2 linked regions of the Arabidopsis thaliana genome follow. The protein of the gene in region 1 interacts with the protein of each later gene in a pairwise test. Each region holds a gene or a part of one and is shown in the gene's direction. Other genes may lie near its edges. The genes, in order: LNO1 and LOS4.

What was found.
Region 2: the proteins of LNO1 (region 1) and LOS4 interact in a two-hybrid assay, tested with the Arabidopsis thaliana proteins (one study listed by BioGRID).

What each region holds. Positions count from the first base shown.
Region 1 is NC_003070.9:20,737,286-20,747,493, reverse strand, and holds the start of LNO1 (Nuclear pore complex protein), read left to right. Parts: upstream 1-4,319; 5' UTR 4,320-4,444; coding exon 4,445-4,634; intron 4,635-4,715; coding exon 4,716-4,924; intron 4,925-5,006; coding exon 5,007-5,175; intron 5,176-5,283; coding exon 5,284-5,430; intron 5,431-5,699; coding exon 5,700-5,821; intron 5,822-5,968; coding exon 5,969-6,081; intron 6,082-6,495; coding exon 6,496-6,635; intron 6,636-6,720; coding exon 6,721-6,886; intron 6,887-6,968; coding exon 6,969-7,911; intron 7,912-8,091; coding exon 8,092-8,244; intron 8,245-8,399; coding exon 8,400-8,457; intron 8,458-8,997; coding exon 8,998-9,131; intron 9,132-9,220; coding exon 9,221-9,345; intron 9,346-9,465; coding exon 9,466-9,817; intron 9,818-9,959; coding exon 9,960-10,143; intron 10,144-10,208. Other genes in the region: AT1G55546 (2-C-methyl-D-erythritol 4-phosphate cytidylyltransferase), read right to left, coding at 2,385-2,393, 2,527-2,589, 2,742-2,801, 2,890-2,986, 3,154-3,245, 3,592-3,666.
Region 2 is NC_003074.8:19,680,252-19,691,161, forward strand, and holds LOS4 (P-loop containing nucleoside triphosphate hydrolases superfamily protein), read left to right. Parts: upstream 1-7,488; 5' UTR 7,489-7,617; intron 7,618-7,714; 5' UTR 7,715-7,716; coding exon 7,717-7,953; intron 7,954-8,057; coding exon 8,058-8,351; intron 8,352-8,429; coding exon 8,430-8,657; intron 8,658-8,784; coding exon 8,785-8,850; intron 8,851-9,243; coding exon 9,244-9,642; intron 9,643-9,739; coding exon 9,740-9,848; intron 9,849-9,931; coding exon 9,932-10,020; intron 10,021-10,103; coding exon 10,104-10,172; 3' UTR 10,173-10,410; downstream 10,411-10,910. Other genes in the region: UPL7 (ubiquitin-protein ligase 7), read left to right, coding at 75-637, 812-1,771, 1,849-2,171, 2,287-2,565, 2,678-2,930, 3,040-3,210, 3,326-3,418, 3,497-3,604 and 3 more; AT3G53100 (GDSL-like Lipase/Acylhydrolase superfamily protein), read right to left, coding at 4,738-4,931, 5,084-5,339, 5,491-5,724, 5,805-5,935, 6,051-6,291; VPS37-1 (Modifier of rudimentary (Mod(r)) protein), read right to left, coding at 10,478-10,638, 10,719-10,839. UniProt on the Arabidopsis thaliana protein: ATP-dependent RNA helicase essential for mRNA export from the nucleus. Plays an important role in the positive regulation of CBF/DREB transcription factors.

The sequences.
Region 1 (10,208 bases):
TCCAAAGCCAACGTCTATCAAAAGAAGATTGTAAACTCCAAAATGAAAAAAGGAGAGAGTACTGATCCAACGAGAACGAGTGACATATTTTAATTTCAGATTTCATTTTCCTTACTTTTGTTATCAATACAAAAGAATCAATCAAATGTAACACTCGTGATAAAACTCCCATGTGACAACAACATGAAGCATAACACTTCATGATGATAATATATAATACATTGTCTTATACATTTTTAAGAATTATTAGAAATTACGAATTAGCATGTTCTCTGCTTTTGAAATCTCGCTTAAAAATTTACAAAATAATTTTCTTGATAGTTATTTTAACATGCAACATTTGGAAAATCTACATGATCATTGGAAATGATTAACATTCATCCAAAACGTATTTAAATGTTATTGAATATATTAGTTAGAGAAATAATCTAAATGTTATTGATTTGGATGTAAAACATTTTGCTACCTACTATAAAAAATGCCTACGCTACGCAATCAAGTGATATCACAACATGTTTTCAAATACTGAATACTTTGGGGTTAAATTAAATCGTATAAATGCAATGAGGGTTCACCTGTCACGATGGATCCATCAAGGATAACGCAATCTCACTTGCTATATCGTCTGTGGTTAGAGTAAAAGTCTCTTCAATGTCTCTTTCTTACAATCTATCAAATTTTCATCAGAAAACAAAAAGAAAAGTAAGAAATAGATTTTAAAACATGAAATAAAGAAAAGATAAAAAGAAAAATCTTCATAAAGAAGAAAAGATAATGTTAAATCAATATTATCATGTTTTGGAGAAATACGCCAACATAGACCAATGGATGAACAGAAGATTTGTTATTTTTTCCCAATATAGGTTTGACCCAAACATCTATGTGACTAGTAATGTCAAATAATTTTTATTTCGCATGGATAGTTGAACATTGAATAGTGTCACTTTCCATATATATACATAAATATTCGGAAAGTACATTTCGTAACATTTTATCCAAGAAATTAAGGATCTCAGTTAAACAATTGAAACAATTACATGTTTTTGGTAATATATATATCCAACCAAGTACCAAGGTGAATTTTCATATACAAGAAGAAAATTAGAAAGGTTTCTTCCCTAACAGACTTTGAATTTAAATTCAGCAGCTCTTGCAAAAAAAAGGGTTCTGACTGGTTATGGAAGTTAAAACTATTAGATGTTTGTTTCGAAAATATTTTTAAAATTCTATCAGAAGAAAATGAAATGGGTGTGCTGTGTGCATGAAGGCTATATATTCCACAAGTTGACACTGAAAAAATATATTTTCTGTTTCTGTTGTTTTTCTTTCAAGGTTACTTTTGTTGATTTGTTTAAAATTAACATGTCAGTCATTCTGGGAGTTGTCTCTATAAATTTTTCTGTGATTTGTCGATTACTTGGAAAACCAATCAAAAATTCGGCACGTGAATATCTTGCCAACATAGTCTCACCCGGAAAGACCTTTCGCAGATTCTTCCTCAGAATTCGACACATGAGAATTCATCATCACCAGAATCTCACTGGTCAAGATATTCTTACTCCAAAATTTTAGAGCATGTATGCTTTCCATAGTGAGAATTTCCGTCGTATCTTTCTTATTCGATGCATGCATCAACACTGCACCAATAACATATGACTCTGATATTACTCGTTGGGCTGGAAACATTCACCACAATCTTATCAGTCAGTTTTAACCTTAAAAACTCGATAAATCAAGAACACTTGAATCGGAAAGCAAAAAAAAAAACAGAACTAGAAGAAACTTTCATGTATTGTTGTTTGTTTTATCAAACTCAAATCATAATTTGAATGTCTTTTGAATCTGAATTTTGTGGAACTAAAACGTTTTAGACTTTGATGCAACTAGAAAATATAACAATGCATGCAAAACACTTTTACAAGTTTGGTCCCTCCATTTGAACAACTAGAACAAAACTTTTAAAGAAACTCTAGAACACATTTGATTAATACTAACAAGCGTGGGAAGTAAGAAACTAATTTGAGGCATTTGTACATACCATATTGTAATAACTCCTTAGTGTTGTTATTTGTCTCACTGCCTGGGATTGTTGTTGGTGAGGAACAGTGTTGATAATGGCCCATTATTAATGGGTCGCAACTTGCAAGACATATGGGTCTTCACTATTAAGACTCTGCAACATTAAATACATTTCTCGTGGGGTTCATCCTAATATGCATATTGGTGTATGTATCTGTGCCTGCATGATTTAATGACCAGCAAAAAACAGTAATGGTCAAAGTAAATAACATGATGGGAGAAGGTGAAAAAAGAGTTTAAACCTCGGAAGAGTTAATACTGGTAAAACTCTGGGTCTTTCTTCAACGTTCTCAATTATTACAACTTTACAAGTACTACAAACATTTTCGATAAAGACAACAATACACACACTTCTTCAAGTTATGTAACAATCCACATTTGAAAGCAAACCTTACAATATGTAACACATCAACGATTTTCACACTATAAATATAAAACTAAACTTACCTTCAATGTGTTAACAAGGACAGGATCCGAGTTCTGATTTGAAGAAACATCTGAAGACAATAACTGTAAACAGAAGAGAGTACTAAGTAAAGGAGCAGTAGAAATCACAGTAGCCAATGTTCATGACATCTAAATATTAGCAAGAAAGATGCTCTTAACGCCAGTTGATTTAGATAAATTGAATAGTCAACTCATAATGATACATAAACTCTTACCTCTCTGCCAATGAACACGAGTGCAACATCAACAGGTTGCTGAAGTTTTTTCTCCGAGCACTAAACAATGGAGACAATAAAATAGATATGAGAATGAAACCATTGCATTGTGTAAAAATATTTGCTTGCGGACTCAACGCGAACATACCAGAAAATTAGACCAACCTCCTAGAGTGAAAACAGAGTCTACTAGATCCTTTGCAGACATGACTTGATAATTTACATCCGTTTCACCATTAGCATACCTACAATTTCATCAATGTGGACATCAATATAAGCACAATTCCAACAAAAGTTCTCAAACTCTTACACCAAAACCAGAGTACAATAAAATTTGGTAAATTTACTCACATAAGCCTTGAAAATGGTGAAAACAAGGATCAACAAAAAGATAAAAAGAGGCAGGCCTAACTGGAGATGCGGAGACCAGAGGAAAGCAGGAACTGTGGAAGGTGAAGCTAATCCAAAATCCACGAGAGACGCAAACTCAAGAACTACCAACAACTACGCCAGTAGAGCAGAGGTAAAACGTCACCGTTTGCTATAATTTACCCACAAAACCGATGTAGGAGAACCGGTCTGCGTTTAACGGTTGGATTAGCTAAGAGAACCGGTCTGATAATCTCTTGTTAACGGTCTTTGTAGAGGATGTGAACTTTATCTAAGTGTGTTCAAAGGCTTCATATTTTGAGACTTTATATTTTGATTTTCAACTTGGATACACTAGCTAGATGAAAACAATGATGATCCTCTTCTCTGCCTTTTACGTGCGCTTTATTATTCTGTGCTAGATGCAAAGAACAATATCCCCTAGCAATGAATCTTTTTTAGGATATACATAAGACAGTACGTATTGATAATAATTAATGGCAAGCTTCATCAAACAGCAATGAAGAAGGTACTCATCCAATGCAAATCTTGTCATCCTTGTATCGTCCTTTGTAGGTGAATCATCATTAGGCTGCAGAACACTGTTTTCACAGAGAGCGTGTTCAGTTTGATGGACTAAAACTGACCTTATATTATATATCAAGCTCAATCTGCTGGTCTCACGAAAAACTCGTCTCTCTATTGTACTTAAACCCTTACCACTAAATCCCCTGAATGTCTTTTACTATTTCTTAACTCTTGAACTACTGGAATTCAATTTGAGCTCATTTCTTATTACCATGTTCATTTGGAGATACGATAGAGTTAGTTTATCAACTAAACAAGATCACACGATTGATCAACTAAACAAGAAATATAAAACCAAAAAGACAAAGAAAAAGAGTTGAGATCGGAAAGAAGGAGAACGACGATCAAGCCTCACGATATTTATGTTCCTTCGAGACCTTTGGTATAAGCGAATCACATCTTGTGCGGCAGAAATATTGTAAATAGTCTGAATTTCAAAATAAATTACTATATATATATCACAATACATGTCGGTCTGGTTTAGTAAAGAGAACCGGTCGCTGAATCTGGTTCAGCTAAAAGAACCGGTCTGGTGTGTCAGATAAGGGCCAATTGGGCCATTAACACATTACGGCCCATATAAATTTAAATTAACAAACCATGAACCGTCGTCGGCTCATCGGACCAGTGTGGTATCACCGGCACTTGTAATCAGAGAGACTCACTCTCGAGTTTCGTCCTCTCTACTTCCCGCTCAAAATCCTTCGGATTCAGCCATTGAAACAACCTTGAGAAGAGTTTGAAAGATGAGCAGAGTTGAGATTGAAGAAGATACGGAAGGAGATCGCATCTCAACGAACGATTACTACTTCGAGAGAATCGGCGAACCTATCAGTATCAAAGAAGATGATGCTCAATACGATCTCGAAAACCCTCCGTCACAGCCTCTCGCTATCTCAGAACGCCACGCCGTCCTCTTTGTCGCACATTCCTCCGGTTAGTTTTCGTAATCGGCGATGGTAGAGGTTTTTGCTCTGTGCTGTTTATTTACTGTGACCGTTTTGTGTGGAATATTAGGGTTTTTTGTTGGGAGGACTAATGATGTAATTTCTGCATCGAAGAACAGTAACGGGAACGGTGATAAGGTTTTTATCCAGGATTTGAGCCTCGTCGATGTTCCTGTTGGGGACGTTCGTATATTGTCTCTCTCAGCGGATGATTCGATTCTCGCTGTCACCGTTGCTGCTGATATTCATTTCTTCTCTGTGGATTCACTTCTTAAGAAGGTACACGTCTCAGAAGTAGCAGACTAGCTGGATTGCTTTGTTGATTGATAGTTTACTTACTTAATCTGTTCCTTTGTTGCAGGATGCAAAACCTTCTTTTTCTTATTCACCTGATGAGTCAGGCTTCGTTAAGGATTTTCGGTGGAGAAGGAATGATAAGCATTCTTATCTTGTTCTTTCGAATACTGGGAAGCTCTTTCATGGAATTGATAATGCACCCCCTAGACATGTTATGGATGCTGTTGACGCCGGTTTGTTTCATCTCTATTGCTACTTCTTCAGCAAAAAAGCATGTTTTTGGCAATTATGTAAGATCGACTCTGTAGGAATTTACTTGTAAACTTTGTTTTGTTTGTCAGTTGAATGGAGTTCAAAAGGGAGTTATATCGCTGTAGCTCAAGATAACAGCCTTCGGATTTTTTCGTCAAAATTTAATGAGAAGCGGTGCATAGCACTATCATTTGACTCTTGGATTGGTGATTCCGATGAAGACTGTTTCGTGAAAGGTATGTTGCAGGTTTTGGCCTTCTTCTTTCTTACCAGTATTTTCCGTTTTGTTTCAAATTTCATTGTTGTTGTAAGGTATTTGAGATCTTTTCTTATGGACTGAGTCATACTGTATTCTGGGGCTTGGTCGTGATATATACAAACTGATCCTGTTGAAATTTCTCGTTTCCTGCTATCTCCCATCACACTTCCATTACAAAGGTCATAAATGGCTCTCAAGTTAAGCCCTCTCAATGAATGACTGTTTACTAACAATACTCTGCAACAGTTGATTCTATCAGATGGGTACGCAACAACTGTATTCTTCTTGGATGCTTTCAGCTGATTGAAGGCAGGGAAGAAAATTACCTTGTTCAGGTTATCAGGAGTCCAGATGGGAAGATTTCTGATGTGAGTAACATTTCTATTGCATTGATTTTGCTGCTGAGGCGTAGATAGTTAGGCATAACCCCTTTTCGGATGGAATAAAACAATAGGATCTGTAACTTTACTTATATTTTTTTAATCTGATTTGTGAGTTTTTGAACTTCTTTGCAGGGTTCAACCAATCTGGTTGCTTTATCCTTCTCCGATTTGTTTCCATGTTCTATGGATGATCTTGTCCCGGTCGGTGTTGGACCTCATTTACTCTTTAGCTACATAGACCAATGGTACGTCAGGCTAATTTTACTATTCTTTCTATTCTTTTTATTTTGATTTCTCTTTTCATAAATACTCCACTTTTCTTGCTCGCTGCTAGCCATTTGTCATTCTTTCCCACTGTATATGGAATCTTAAAGTTTTTGTCCATACATAAACTATCTTGGAAGGGCTGTAAATTACCAAGAATGTTCTAACGAGAATGGTTTTCAAATACAACTAACTATGATACGTGTTCCGCATTATATACTAGAATTAAATTTGAGCTCATATTATATTTATCCATTTCGTTTGGAGATGCAACAAAGTCAGTTTAATTGTTCCTGACATTTCCTCTTTTTATATTAATAAACGGACTATGTAAACTACCACTATTTTCGATGTGAAGATGGTAAATGTTGCTGTGTTTTCACCTCACCCTACAGCAAACTGGCGGTCACAGCAAACAGAAAGAGCATAGATGAGCATATTGTTTTACTGGATTGGTCATCTGGTGATGATAAAAGTGCAGTTTCCGTTGTTGATATTGATCGTGAGACCTTTTTGCCAAGGATTGGGCTCCAAGGTATGCAGTCCATAGTTTCTGTATTGTATGTGTACTTTTCCTACAATGACACGTTCAATATAAAGAAGATAATTTGTTTTTTCAGAAAACAACGATGACAATACGGTCATGGGACTCTGTATCGATAGGGTTTCTATAGAGGGGACTGTTAATGTCCGTTCCGGAGATGATGAACTTAAAGAACTTCAACCATATTTTGTTCTTGTGTGCCTCACTTTGGAAGGGAAGCTGGTCATGTTTAATGTTGCTAGGTAGGCTTTATTTCTCTCAGTGGTTTAACTCATTGCTGTTGACAACATTACTTAAAAAACATTAATTTGTTTTCCCCGACAGTGTTGCAGGACGGCCAGCTTCATCTGATACTGATTTGGCCTCTTCTTCTGATATAGAAGATGCTTATACCCCTTTGATTGAAGATGACCTTTCTAAACAATCTTCTGAAAAACATCAACAGTTGAATATTGCAGTACAAAATGATCAGAAACACCTCAACACAGAGAAGTTCTCTACTGAACAAAGGTTGCCAAATGAAAACATTTTTAGCAAGGAATTCGAGTCTGTGAAAAGCTCAGTGTCTGGGGACAACAACAAGAAGCAAGAACCGTATGCTGAAAAACCGTTACAAGTTGAAGATGCTCAACAAAGCATGATTCCTAGGTTGTCCGGAACAAGTTTTGGGCAACTACCCATGTCCTTAGGATATGACACCAACAAATTTGCAGGATTCGGTCCTGCTCTCCCTGTTTCCGAAAAGCTTCAAAAAGACATATTTGCGCAGTCCAATTCTATGCATTTGCAGGCCAATGTGGAGTCAAAGAGTACAGCAGCTTTTTTTGGATCTCCTGGCCTGCAGAACGCAATTTTGCAGTCACCGCAAAATACGTCATCTCAGCCATGGTCAAGTGGGAAAAGCGTCTCACCTCCAGATTTTGTATCTGGTCCCTTTCCTTCTATGAGAGATACTCAGCATAAGCAATCTGTACAGTCTGGAACTGGTTATGTAAACCCTCCTATGAGCATCAAAGATAAATCTGTACAAGTTATTGAGACTGGTAGAGTATCAGCGCTGAGCAATTTAAGTCCTCTGCTAGGCCAAAATCAGGACACTAATGAAGGGGTAGAGAAAATTGAGCCAATACCTTCTATCCGTGCCTCTCAATTGTCACAACAGGTGAAATCTTCCTTCGAAAAATCAGCCAGTCATCAGCAGCACAAAACTCCGCTCAGTACTGGACCTCTGAGACTTGAGCATAACATGTCAAACCAACCCAGTAATGTAAGGTTTACTCATGAATTCATGATAGTAATTAGTTTCTCAATGATTTTTTCGTGTGGATATGTTTTTTCCAGGAGAGAGTCATCCGACACTCATGCTTTCACAATCATGCCTTGCTGTAGTATTTTACTTACTGGACTGATACCATTAGCGTAACTGACTCTTCCTTTTTTGCACCAGATAAATGAGATGGCCCGAGAAATGGATACACTTTTACAGTCCATTGAAGGACCGGGTGGTTTCAAGGATTCTTGCGCGTTTATACTGAAAAGCAATGTTGAAGAACTGGAGCAAGGACTTGAAAGTCTTGCTGGCAAGTGCCAAACGTGGAAGGTAATATGTAAAAGTTCACGTATTTTGTTATTGGTTCATATTATTTTTGGATTCCCTCTTTTAATATCTGACCAAACCACCTTCCAATAAAAAAAATACTGTTGGTGATTCTGGTCCTTCTAAATTGCTAACTCATTTGGTGTGGTGGTCTTCAGAGCACAATTCACGAGCAGCAAGCAGAGATCCAACATCTTCTTGACAAAACAATTCAAGGTGATCTATTTATTTTACCATCCCCATATGTAGCGCAAAAACATTGTTAGTAGGTAGAATTGTGTTTTACTTGAAAAGGTATTCTAAAGCCGCGAGGCCCGTAAAAGGCAAACTAGGATTGTTGTAAATTTATATTACTTCTAAGCACTGTCAGTGATATCTAGAAATTGAGGCAAGTTTAACTTTCATCCCCATTACATCATTAACCCGCCAGACTTCAACTCTCAACCTAAATTGAGAAGTTTAGAAGAAGGGAACGAATCCTGATACATGCACATTAGTCTCATATCTGATATTTGTATATGATGGTGATAAAGCGTGAGCTCCAGTATGATAGTCAGCATAAGCGTGTGCTTTAGATGAGGTTCTTGCATTTTTACACATGTTTCTCTGGAAGTCCCTAGACTAAAGTTTGTTCTCGTTCTTTTGGTCTTCCCTATTATATTCAGTATCGTTTTCATATCTTACACTGGAATCTAAGCTGCAAATTAGCAGGTTGTTATTATGTTTTCTTATTATTGTTTCATGTGGGGATTTCAGTTTTGGCAAAAAAGACATACATGGAAGGTATGTATAAGCAAACTGCTGATAACCAGTACTGGCAACTTTGGAACCGCCAGAAGTTGAATCCTGAGCTTGAGGCCAAGCGGCAGCATATAATGAAACTAAATAAGGTTTTTTACGTGTTGATATATCTCCCTCATCCATCTGTTACTACTTTTAGCTCGCTGTTGTCATTTATCTTCTATTTTTCTCATTCTAGGATTTGACTCATCAACTGATTGAACTAGAGAGATATTTTAATCGGCTTGAACTCGATCGCTACAATGAGGATGGTGGACATCCTGTGGCACGAAGAGGCGTGCCAAATAGGTCTGCTCCTTCAAGGTATTCTATTGGATCAGTTGTGAAAATTTTAAGGAAGAAAACACCATCACAAGAAATACTATAAGTTGGTCAAAACGTCCCCTTTTTTTGCAACTCATATTGGGTTGATTCTTTTTGCAGACGTGTGCAATCCCTTCACAGCCTTCATAACACAATGAGTTCCCAATTGGCTGCTGCTGAGCAACTCTCTGAGTGTCTCTCAAAACAAATGACATATTTGAAAATCGATTCACCTGTAAAAAAGAATGTGAAGCAGGAGTTGTTCGAGACAATTGGGATCCCTTACGATGCTTCTTTCAGCTCACCAGATGCGGTAAAAGCTAAAAATGCATCTTCAGCAAAAAACCTATTACTCTCTTCTATCCCCGCAAGTATAAATCAACAGTCAAGACAACGTCAGTCATCTGCTATGAAAAATTCTGACCCTGAAACTGCTAGGAGGAGAAGAGAATCACTAGACAGGGTAATTTTTGTATGAAATCTTTGACTCAGTACTAGCCCTCACGGTATATGCACATATTCTCTAGTATATTAAACTGTGAAGAATTTATATGCACTCCTTTATTTATGGTGTATCCTGACGTGTGGCTCTACTTTTTGTGATCTATTTACAGAATTGGGCTGCTTTTGAGCCTCCAAAAACAACTGTCAAAAGGATGCTTCTGCAGGAGCAACAGAAGACGGGTATGAACCAACAGACTGTCTTGAGTGAGAGACTACGGTCTGCGAATAATACACAAGATCGATCACTGCTTCACGTGAAAGATCATGCATCACCTGTAGTCTCCTCGAATAAGGGTGAGCTAAGATATACTGCAGAGTGCATTAATTTGATCTCGAAGAATGTTTTTGTGTTTCATTTG
Region 2 (10,910 bases), on another chromosome or scaffold:
TTTTTTTGTCTTGCTTTAATTTGAATTGTTTGTCTTGCAAATAAGGAGGGAATAAATCTTGTTGTCTTTTGCAGATCAGGGGTACAATTTTTGTTCACTAGCAGTTGGTACATCTGAAGATAGTAAAACATGGGCCTGTCAAACACGAAGGATGGTTTCTCTCTGCTCTTTCCTTCTCACGGAGTGTAATTATTCGCAGGAAAGGATAAAAGATGTTATTGGTGTCAATGCCCTTCTATTACGTATTCTTATTGTTTTAACTGATCCCAAAAGCTGGAAGATTATTACAAATGAAAACTTTGAAGATGCAGAAACAGCTAAAAAGATAATTATTCAGTTTATAGGGAGCTGTAAAAGTGGATATTACTCAGCAGTTCGGAGATATATCAAGACATTAACCAAACATACAGACGAGAGACTAGTGATTACTACAAGTGCAGTAACTTTGGCTCTACGACCATTCCACGTGAAACAGCCTGCTTTTGTTGATGACAACCAACCGGACACGAATTTGGCTGTTGAAGAATATGTTTCTCTAATACTGACGATTCCTCGGCTTGTTTGCTACCTGCCAAGCGCTCTCATACGTGCACTGAAGCACAAGAGCATACTAATGCCAAGCTTTCACACCATATTGGTAAAACTCATATCATATTTTCTTAGACCAATTAATTTCTTCTTAAAGTCTCAAATAGGATGTAGAGAGAATTGGCTGACTAGTTTTAAATCTCTGTTACTTTTTTCGACGAACTAGTTACTTATTTTTTTCAAAAAATCGAAGTGCTTATTAAAGTGTGGCAGGTGACACCAGCTTTTGAAGGACAAAATCTTGAACATAATATCGGAAATGGAGAATTCAGAGAAGCAAAGTTGTACCATGGAGATACCTTCTGTTGGATGGGTTATCGGGAACATCATATCCCTCGCAACAGTTAGTGAAACCGATTTTATGGATCCACAAGAATCAAATCCAGAGATGTTTTATGTCTTGTATGTTCATGTTATTGTGACTCTCGCCGAGAATCTATTGTCTCAGGTTGAAAGTGTTGGAATTCAGGATATTCATCTTGATATTGAGGCCACATCGAATGAGACAGAGAAAGGAAATTCAGTTAAGATTTCTTTTGTGGAAATGCTTCGACCAGTATGTCAACAGTGGCATCTCGCAAAACTGTTGGCAGCTTCTGGGAAAGAAATTCGTGTTATAGCAGATAAAGATGCATCAACGAGTAGTAAGAAAGGATCAGAAACACTAGGACTGCTTGATATAGCACGATTATATTCATGCATGTTGAGAATCTTCTGCGTGATGAATCCTGTTCTAGGACCTTTGCCTGTCCTTAACATGTTATCCTTCTGTCCTGGATACATTGTCTCTTTGTGGAATTCTCTAGAGAGTGTCCTACTCCCTGAAAATGGTTGCACTGCTGACGATGCATCTCATGGATCTGCTAAAACTTCATGGAATACAAGAAGTCCTTCTGAGAAGAAATTGAAACATCTCAAGAATGACAGTGTCAACAAGTGGGTGAATGTGCTAAACAAGTTTTCTGGTAAATCACCGGGACCACGTGAACATGTGGAGTGTACTAGTGATCAACCAGGATCAGGCCAGGTTAATGAGTCAACTAATGATGTATGGGATGTGGAAACTCTGAGGGGTGGTCCTGTAGGTATCTCCAAAGAAGTGTCATGCCTGCTTCATCTATTTTGTGCAACCTATGCACATTTACTCGTTGTTCTTGATGACATACAGTTTTATGAAAAGCAGGTAAATATGCTATATGGTTTCCTGCAGCTTATATGTCATTAGTCTGATATTTACTAAAGGTTTGTTATGTCATATAGGTCCCCTTTATGCTAGAGAAGCAACAGAGAATTGCATCAATGCTTAATACACTCGTGTACTATGGATTGTTGCGAGGCACAGGTCCTGAGAGTAGACAACTGATGGATTCTGCTATCAGATGTTTGCATTTATTGTATGAAAGAGATTGCAGGCACCCTTTTTGTGCTTCTGCCCTGTGGCTCTCACCTGGTAGAACTAGTAGACCTCCAATTGCATTTGCTGCCAGGACTCATGAGGTTTTACCAACCAGTGATGTTCTTACAACTCCAAGCATGGGTTCTGTTATAACAATTACTCCGCATGTCTTTCCATTTGAGGAGAGGTAATCTTACGTTGATTACCCTTCATAGCCTTTCCATGTCTTTTATCTTTGTGCTACAATAACTTCTAACTAACTTTATCTGTTGAATGATGTTCATGTTGTGCTATCCCTGCAGGGTCCATGTGTTTAGAGAGTTTATAAGCAAGGATAAAGCTTCAAGGAAAATGGCTGGTGAAGTGGATGCACCTGGTGCGAGGTCAATAGAGATAGTTGTTCGTCGAGGTCATGTGGTTGAAGATGGATTTCAACAACTGAATTCAATTGGTAGCAGGCTAAAATCATCCATCCATGTCTCGTTTGTGAATGAATCTGGCCTTCCTGAGGCTGGCCTAGACTATGGTGGGCTTTCAAAAGAGTTTTTGACTGACATAACAAAAGCAGCTTTTGCTACTGAGTAAGCTCTTCTGTATGTATGCATACTTTATTCTAGTCTTTGTTGTTACTTGTTCCAGTGGATTAAGTTTTATTTATTTATTGGTATGTCCATTATTTTTCTTTTCCAAAAGGTATGGGTTATTCTCGCAAACCCCTACTTCAGATAGGTTGCTTGTTCCTAGCCCATCTGCACGGCACCTTGAGAATGGGATTCAGATGATTGAGTTTCTTGGAAGAATTGTTGGAAAAGCTCTATATGAGGGAATACTGCTGGATTACTCTTTTTCACACGTTTTCATCCAGAAGCTTTTGGGGCGTTATAGCTTTATTGATGAACTATCAGGGCTTGATCCAGAGCTCTACAGGAACCTCATGTATGTCAAGGTAAAAACCGTTGCAGGTGATATATCTGTCGCCTCATATGTCAAAATTCAATCTTGTAATAAGTATCACAGGAAAGGGTTTCTGAGATCAAGACTTTGTTTATATGCAGCATTATGATGGTGATTTGAAGGAACTCTGTCTGGATTTCACAGTCACTGAAGAGTTTTGTGGAAAAATGAGCATAATTGAACTCAAACCCGGTGGGAAGGATACTTCAGTCACGAATGAGAACAAAATGCAATATATTCATGCAATGGCTGACTATAAACTTAACCGGCAGGTATCGTCTTTTTAACGTTTTATAAATAATCTTAAGGTCAATCATCCTGCAAAACAAAAGTTACTTCATAATTAATGAGGTAAACATGTTGTCCTATGTCTTGTCTCCAATGCAGATTGTGCCCTTTTCAAATGCATTTTACAGAGGATTGACTGACCTTATATCTCCTGCTTGGTTGAAACTATTTAATGCCCATGAATTTAATCAGGTGTGCGGCTCTAATGTAATGATTTCTAGATTTTTTTCTTTTGTACAAAGCTATTGTCTCACAAAGATTCCTTTACAGTTACTCTCAGGAGGAAACCATGATATTGATGTTGATGACTTAAGGAGGAATACAAAATACACTGGTGGTTACAGTGATAGCAGTCGAACAATCAAAATCTTCTGGGAGGTAATAACTCTTAATCAGAAGTCCTGATCTCTACGTTTTCTTTCTATTCTGTTTGCCAATTTATGACATATGCTGAGAGTTTGAGTGCGGCTTGTATAATTTCTCTCTGGGCATCCTGTCTCAGGTCATGAAAGGCTTTGAACCGAGTGAACGTTGCTTGCTCCTCAAATTTGTGACTAGTTGTTCTCGGGCACCACTCCTTGGTTTCAAATACTTGCAGCCAACCTTCATCATCCATAAAGTTTGTTTTTGAACTTAAGCTTAGAAATGTATGTTTGATATTCTGTTTGGTAATTTTGTTTTCTTACTTTTGTGCTTTTTCATCTTCTGCAGGTCTCTTGTGATACCTCTCTTTGGGCTGCTATTGGAGGACAAGATGTAGAAAGACTTCCATCTGCTTCTACGTGCTACAATACTCTTAAGGTGAAGTTTCAATAGTCCAATTATCTTTGTAGTCTACATGTGAATATTCCTATATCTTTTTTGTTCAGTCTTTCTTTTTGGATTTCTTCAGCTTCCAACGTATAAACGAGCAAGCACTATGAGGGAAAAACTATTGTATGCGATTACTTCAAATGCAGGATTTGAACTCTCGTAGAGACCTCTAACCAGGTATTCATCTTGTTATGCACCTAGACCTTTTATCCTTTATTCTATTCAATGTATATGGCTTCTGTCAAGTTAAACTAGTAAGGCTGGTGTAAACAGTGTGTTTGGTTTATCTTAAGATTATGGGAACTTGTTTCTTCTTGGTAGTTGTATATGAATATATGATAATCAACTAAGCTGAAAAAATCTTCTTAAGCTTTACCAAAATTCTTGCTGTAATCAACCTTAGAAATGTTAAAGAGGTAGATTCGGAACAAAAATAAAATACCAAAGATTGTGATCTTCTCAAACAAATCTTGGACCTATAGACCCATCAGGCCATCACACAGTGACACAGACCAGATTGGTAGTTTCTACATTCAGTCACACACACGCACACACAATCTGTCTCTTATTTGTGAGTTACATATATAGAGAGAGAAAGAGAAAGAGAGAAGAGAGAGAGATAGAGAGAGAGAGACAAACTTTGGTAGCTATTTGTAGGTATACAGTTTGAATTCAATCCAACTGGAATGAAGCTCAATTCAATTGATTAGAGAAATCCCTTGACCCAGTAGTTGACCAGCCAACAGCTCGTTTACAGCCTCTGTGGGATGAAATCCATCCCAAAACACATATCCTGTGGCATTTACACACGTTCCGAAGGATAGAGAATTGCAAAGGAACGATGTTTCTATTGTCCCTGTTCCGCAGCATGCCCTTTTTGTTTCAAAGAATCCTAGAATACATGTAGTTTAGACATTTAATAAGATGTTAATGGTATCTTGTTAGTTGCTAACTAGATTAAATATCTGAGTTCTTCTTCCTGTGAATAGCTCACTCTATCATGGTCTAAAGTTGAATGAGGATTTAGATTTTGCAGGTGTGTACCATTGTCAGTTGGGTTGGTGATGATGTCCAGGAAAGGTTGGTAGACATTAAAGGCGACGAGTCTGAGGCCTGAGTGTCTATTCATCAGTAACCGGGTTGTGTTCTCAAGTTTAGTATTGAACATGATAGCATCATTGTTCAGTCTCTCAACACAACTTTTGTTTCCTGCACCGAAAAGAGTGATAGCTGCAGGCAGGCAACCCATCGGCGGTAGCGATATCACTCCGATTCTCCTTGCTCCTAGTTCATACAGATTCTGTTACAAGTGACAGTATGATTCTTGTTCACACAAAAAAGGGTAAATAACTGATACGATTTTTTTGTGTTTCTTGTAAATTTGCACATTCATATGGTTGCCTTATTATGAATATCGAGTTCTACAAGTTCGTTACTAAACTTAGAAGTACCTGGATGAATTCTGAGAAGGATCTCAGGAGAATGTCAGCGAACTGATCAGGTGTATTTAGGATGTTGAGTAGAGGATTGATGTAATAATTCTGAAGAAAGTCGCTAGATCCCGCACTCAAAATGTGGATACCTCTAGAGAACAGTATGCGCGCGTTCCCCCTCCCGATCATTCTCGTTACTCTATTTTGATACGCCCTGTAATAGCTCAGCTGTCGTGTTAAGGAGATCGAGCCCTGCAAAAGGAAGAGTAAAACCTTATGGATCATTTCTTGGGTATGTGTGTAATGATGTTTGACTGTGTTGTCTCCTTTACAAATGGAACAGATGTGGCATCATAGTATCCTGAAGAAGCTGATGCAAAGTTGGCACCGATCAGGATATTCTCGTTGCTTGCTTCCCGGCTTAGGAATGCAGGTGGGTATGAAGAGAAACCAAGGTACTCGGCTAGACACAAGTAGGCAGATTAAAAAACCAATTAGATTAGGAAGAGAGAAAAAGTATTTGAAGGTAATACTTGATGGAGAGATAGATATATGTGGTTTTGTGAGAAAGACTTTACCTGAGAAATCTACAGCGAGTTTTCCGTTGCAGAATCTTCCGGTGGGTCTTTGGTCGATGAAGTCTCTACCGTAAGGAAGAAAGTTGGATTTGACAATGCTGAGTAAGTTATTGTTGTTGCCAACGTCAACAATGGAGTCGCCAAACATGATGAGTGCAGGAACAACAGCTCCTTTGGATTTGCAGAAGAAACAAGAAACCAAGAGAAGAACTCTAAACCCCGAAACTCTCATCTTTTGCATTCCTTTTCGTTCCTGTCTAATGCAATCAGGTCGTTAGGACAAATAGAGAAGAGAGAGAAGCAGAGAGAAAGAAATAGAGAGTAGTGGTGAGAAAATGGAGACTTAAGAAGATGATGCATGTTATACAAAATATAATCATTCTCCCCATGCTTATGTTTAAGATAAAGAAAACGCATTTGCTAGTGCAATAGAGTAGGTGGAAATTGTTTATGAGGTCAGTCTCTTTGGTCATTGATCATGGGACCATGATCAGTAATATCTTTGCATCCTCGAACATAAACTTCCGTCATATCGCGAAATTTCAATTCGGGCCACGCGTGGAGGCTTTGGTTTGAAGGGTAGCTCTATCAATAAAAATATGGGTATTGGGGAAATCATCTAATCTTGATTGATTGATTGCTCAATACTTCAATAATCTAATTTTGGTTTCTGTTGAACCGTTGGAGGCATGAATATAAAATTCTGATAGGATACAGTTTTCTTGATAAGAGATGATATGTTTGAGGAAATCAAAGTGTGAGCTCCACCAACTTTTAGTTGTTGTTCTTGTAATAATGTATTGGGTAATGTGGCATCCACCTCAAAGATTGTGGTTAAACCATCATGGTTTTTTCTTTTCCTTTCTTCTTTCTTCTATTGTGCTTAAGCCATCATGGTTTATTTCCTTTCTTGTACATAGAAAAGTCATAAGCTTTTTAAAAAAACTTATGAAGAATATTACAAGGAAAAAACAAGAGTTTGGGCCATATCACCACCATGGAAGTAAAAATCTCTACTTGGTACAAGACCCAAATTAGTAGAAAATGGCTTCTTTTGTAACAAATTTGGACTGTTGGGCCATATTGTTTTGTTTATACATAAATTAAAGCCCAAAATGATTTAGTTGGGTCGTCTAGAATAAACCGAACTATTAAAAAATCATTGGTAGAGTCGGTTATGTTATTTCAATTGTGGCTAGCATGAAATTAAGTTCAATTATTTTACATTTTTACTATTAAGCTTCATATTCTTACGTCGAACCGAATTGAAATTAGAGAAAACAGAAAGATAAACCGAATTATAAACAAAAACAACATAGACTAGAGTCGGTTTAATCACGTGTAGCTTATAAATTAACATCAGTAAATTTCCATTTTTACTAGCAGCTTGAAATTAACGTCAGTGATTTTTACAATCCTTGACTAGTAGCTTCAAAGTAAAGCAGCAACTCTTATTTATTTGGGGTTTTCACTTTTTCCCCAAAATTGTCTCCGACTTCAAACATAACACAAATCGTTCATCGTCTTCCTTCTCTCTCTCTGATTCTCTCATTCGCGAATTTCAAAGGTTCTACTTCTCTCAGAATCTCAGCTCTTTCACGAATCAATGGAGAAGTTAAGATGAATTTGGGTTTCTAATTTGATTGGTTTTTTGTTGGCTACAGCTATGGCGGATACGGTAGAGAAAGTTCCCACCGTTGTTGAGTCATCTTCATCATCCACCGTTGAAGCATCTAATAGCGCCGAGAAGACTGAGCCCACGACGGAGAAGAAAAAGTGGGGCGATGTTGAAGATGATGATGATGAAGAAGAAGCTGTATCGGAGCTTAATTCATTGAGCATTAAGGAAGAAGAGAAACCTGATTCTATTCTTGAGGAACCTGAAGATTCTAACATCAAAGCTGTATTACTTCAATTCCCTCTCTCTCTTTGATCCTAATTACAGTCTAGGGTTATTAGATTTTCCAGATTCGTTTGGTTGATTTTGAAATCTGGTGTTTTTTGAAGGTTACTTCTGGTGACACACCATATACATCAGCAAGTAGATTTGAAGACTTGAACTTGTCACCTGAATTGATGAAAGGCTTGTACGTTGAGATGAAATTCGAAAAGCCTAGCAAGATCCAAGCTATTAGTTTGCCTATGATAATGACGCCGCCACACAAGCATCTGATTGCCCAGGCTCATAACGGATCTGGAAAGACGACTTGTTTCGTTCTTGGAATGTTGAGTCGTGTTGATCCCACATTGAGAGAGCCTCAAGCTCTCTGTATTTGTCCCACTAGAGAATTAGCTAATCAGGTTTGTTTAGTTACTCTGATTTTGGTTATGATCTGAGAGTAATCTGATTGTTGACTTCTTTTAATGGTTGAATGACAGAATATGGAAGTTCTTCAGAAGATGGGGAAGTTTACTGGGATCACTGCTGAGTTGGCTGTGCCTGACTCAACGAGAGGTGCACCGGCGGCAACAAGAGGAGCTCCTGTTTCTGCTCATGTTGTGATTGGCACCCCTGGAACGCTTAAGAAATGGATGGCATTTAAGAGACTAGGTCTAAATCATTTGAAGATTCTGGTTTTTGATGAGGCTGACCATATGCTTGCTACGGTATGCTCTTTCTTCTGTTTTACTTGGTCTTGTTATTTTCTCAACTGTAATGATTTAACTTCTGTATAATGTGATTATATTTTCCCTTCATATGTTGTTGATAATTGTTAATTCATTGCTGTTGCAGGATGGGTTTAGGGATGATTCCTTGAAGATAATGAAAGACATTGGGAGAGTTAATCCCAATTTCCAGGTCTGTTTAACTAGTGTCTGATTTGGTCATGCTTCTTGAATTATAAGTAGGATGACAGTTGATATCTAGTGGCATATCTATCGTGATATCTAGGGGGCACAAGATAGTCTACTGAGCTTATAGTTATACTTGTTTCAATGTTCAGAAGCTCTTAGTAAATAGAAGCACCTCAGCTGTGTTTTTTTCTGTTGTTTAGAGCCGTCATATCTTAAGATGACATATATGTCTGTGCTAAAATGATTATGAATATCTTCACTGCAGAAAGCTGTACTAATGACTGCTTGTGTTTCACTATATTTATGGCTGTTAATCTCAATTCAAAGGAAACTCTTTTTCTTTCTTTCTCGTGCTAGATTTGATTGTGTGCTTGTGTTCTTGACCTATTTTCAACAGGTTCTTCTTTTCTCGGCAACTTTTAACGAAACTGTCAAAGATTTTGTTGCGCGGACAGTCAAAGATCCCAACCAATTGTTTGTCAAAAGAGAGGATCTGGCTTTGGACTCGGTGAAGCAGTATAAAGTTGTTTGCCCGAAGGAGCAAAACAAGATCGAAGTCATCAAGGATCAGATTATGGAGCTTGGGGATATTGGGCAAACCATTATCTTTGTGAAAACAAAAGCGTCTGCTCAAAAGGTGCACAAAGCCCTTGCGGAAATGGGATATGACGTTACCAGTGTCCATGGTAATCTGACTGAATCGGACAGGGATAAGATAGTTAAAGAGTTTAAAGAATGCCTTACTCAAGTGCTCATTGCTACCGATGTCATTGCAAGAGGTTTTGACCAACAGCGGGTAAATATTGTCCTTTGAGCCTTTTCCTTTCTTCTCGTTTTACCTCAAAGATGCTTCGTAGTTAATACCTCTTGTTGGTTATATACAATACTTGCAGGTGAATTTGGTTGTCAATTATAATCTTCCCACTAAATATGAAACTGGAGAGCCAGATTATGAGGTGTACCTTCACAGGGTTGGGAGAGCTGGCCGGTTTGGTCGCAAAGGTGAGTTTTGATTCTTCTTTTTTTCTTTCTCAAGTGTTTCCATAAGTTCTTATCAGTTTCTGAACTATGTATTTGTATTGTAGGAGCGGTTTTCAACTTGCTGCTTGATGATGGCTGGGATAAAGAGGTGATGGAGAAGATCGAGAAGTATTTTGAAGCAAATGTTAAGGAGGTATTATAAGATTTCTGAAAACTGCTATATATCTTTCAAGTGTTTGTTAAAACAGTATCCAACGATTTTAAACTTTGCTGCAGATCAAGTCGTGGAACTCAGAGGAAGAGTATAAGAGTGCATTAAAGGAAGCTGGCCTGCTGGACGAGTGAGGAAGAGAGACAGCATGTGTTCAAACCATCTTAAAAGACTATGTCGTCTGTTTTCTTGAGATTGTTTTAAGAAAGAAACTTGTATACCTCTTTGAGGTTTTCTTGTAATCTTTTTATCTGATTGCTGAGAGTTTCAGACTTTGTAGATTTTTTGTTAAGGGAAAAGGAAAACATTTTTTATGTCAATGTCAATCACTTTAGTATGAACCTAAACAGTAAACAGCAAAGCATTTTTTTTACAACAATGGGTAAGAGTCATAATACACAACCAAAGTCTCGAATTCAATGTGTAAAGCTTTTTAATCTCAAATGTTTGACGTTTTAGCGGCAAGATGGATCAATGCTCGTCGATGATAGGTAGTACGAAGCTTCTTGTATTTCTGCACAAATGCTGCTGTATCAATCTCCTTCTCTAGGAACTTTTCTTGCAGGGCTTCGGATTCTTCATCCACCTGATTCATAGCCTCTGCAAAACAAGTAAAAGGTGTTTAGAACAGTAGAGAAAATGAGACGAGGGGAGAATCCATTGCAATGGTAAATTGTTACCTTGAAGTTTATGAAGAAGAGAACCAGGGGAGTAGAATTTGAGGATCTCTTCTTTTTGCCTCTCAAGCTCATTAAGCTTTTCTTGCGCAGTTGCGAGCTCAGTTGTACGGATAATTCTGCACTGTAAAATAAGTAAAGACTGGTAAATCAGAGATATCGAAAAGGTATAACATGGTAAAACTGAACAAGAAA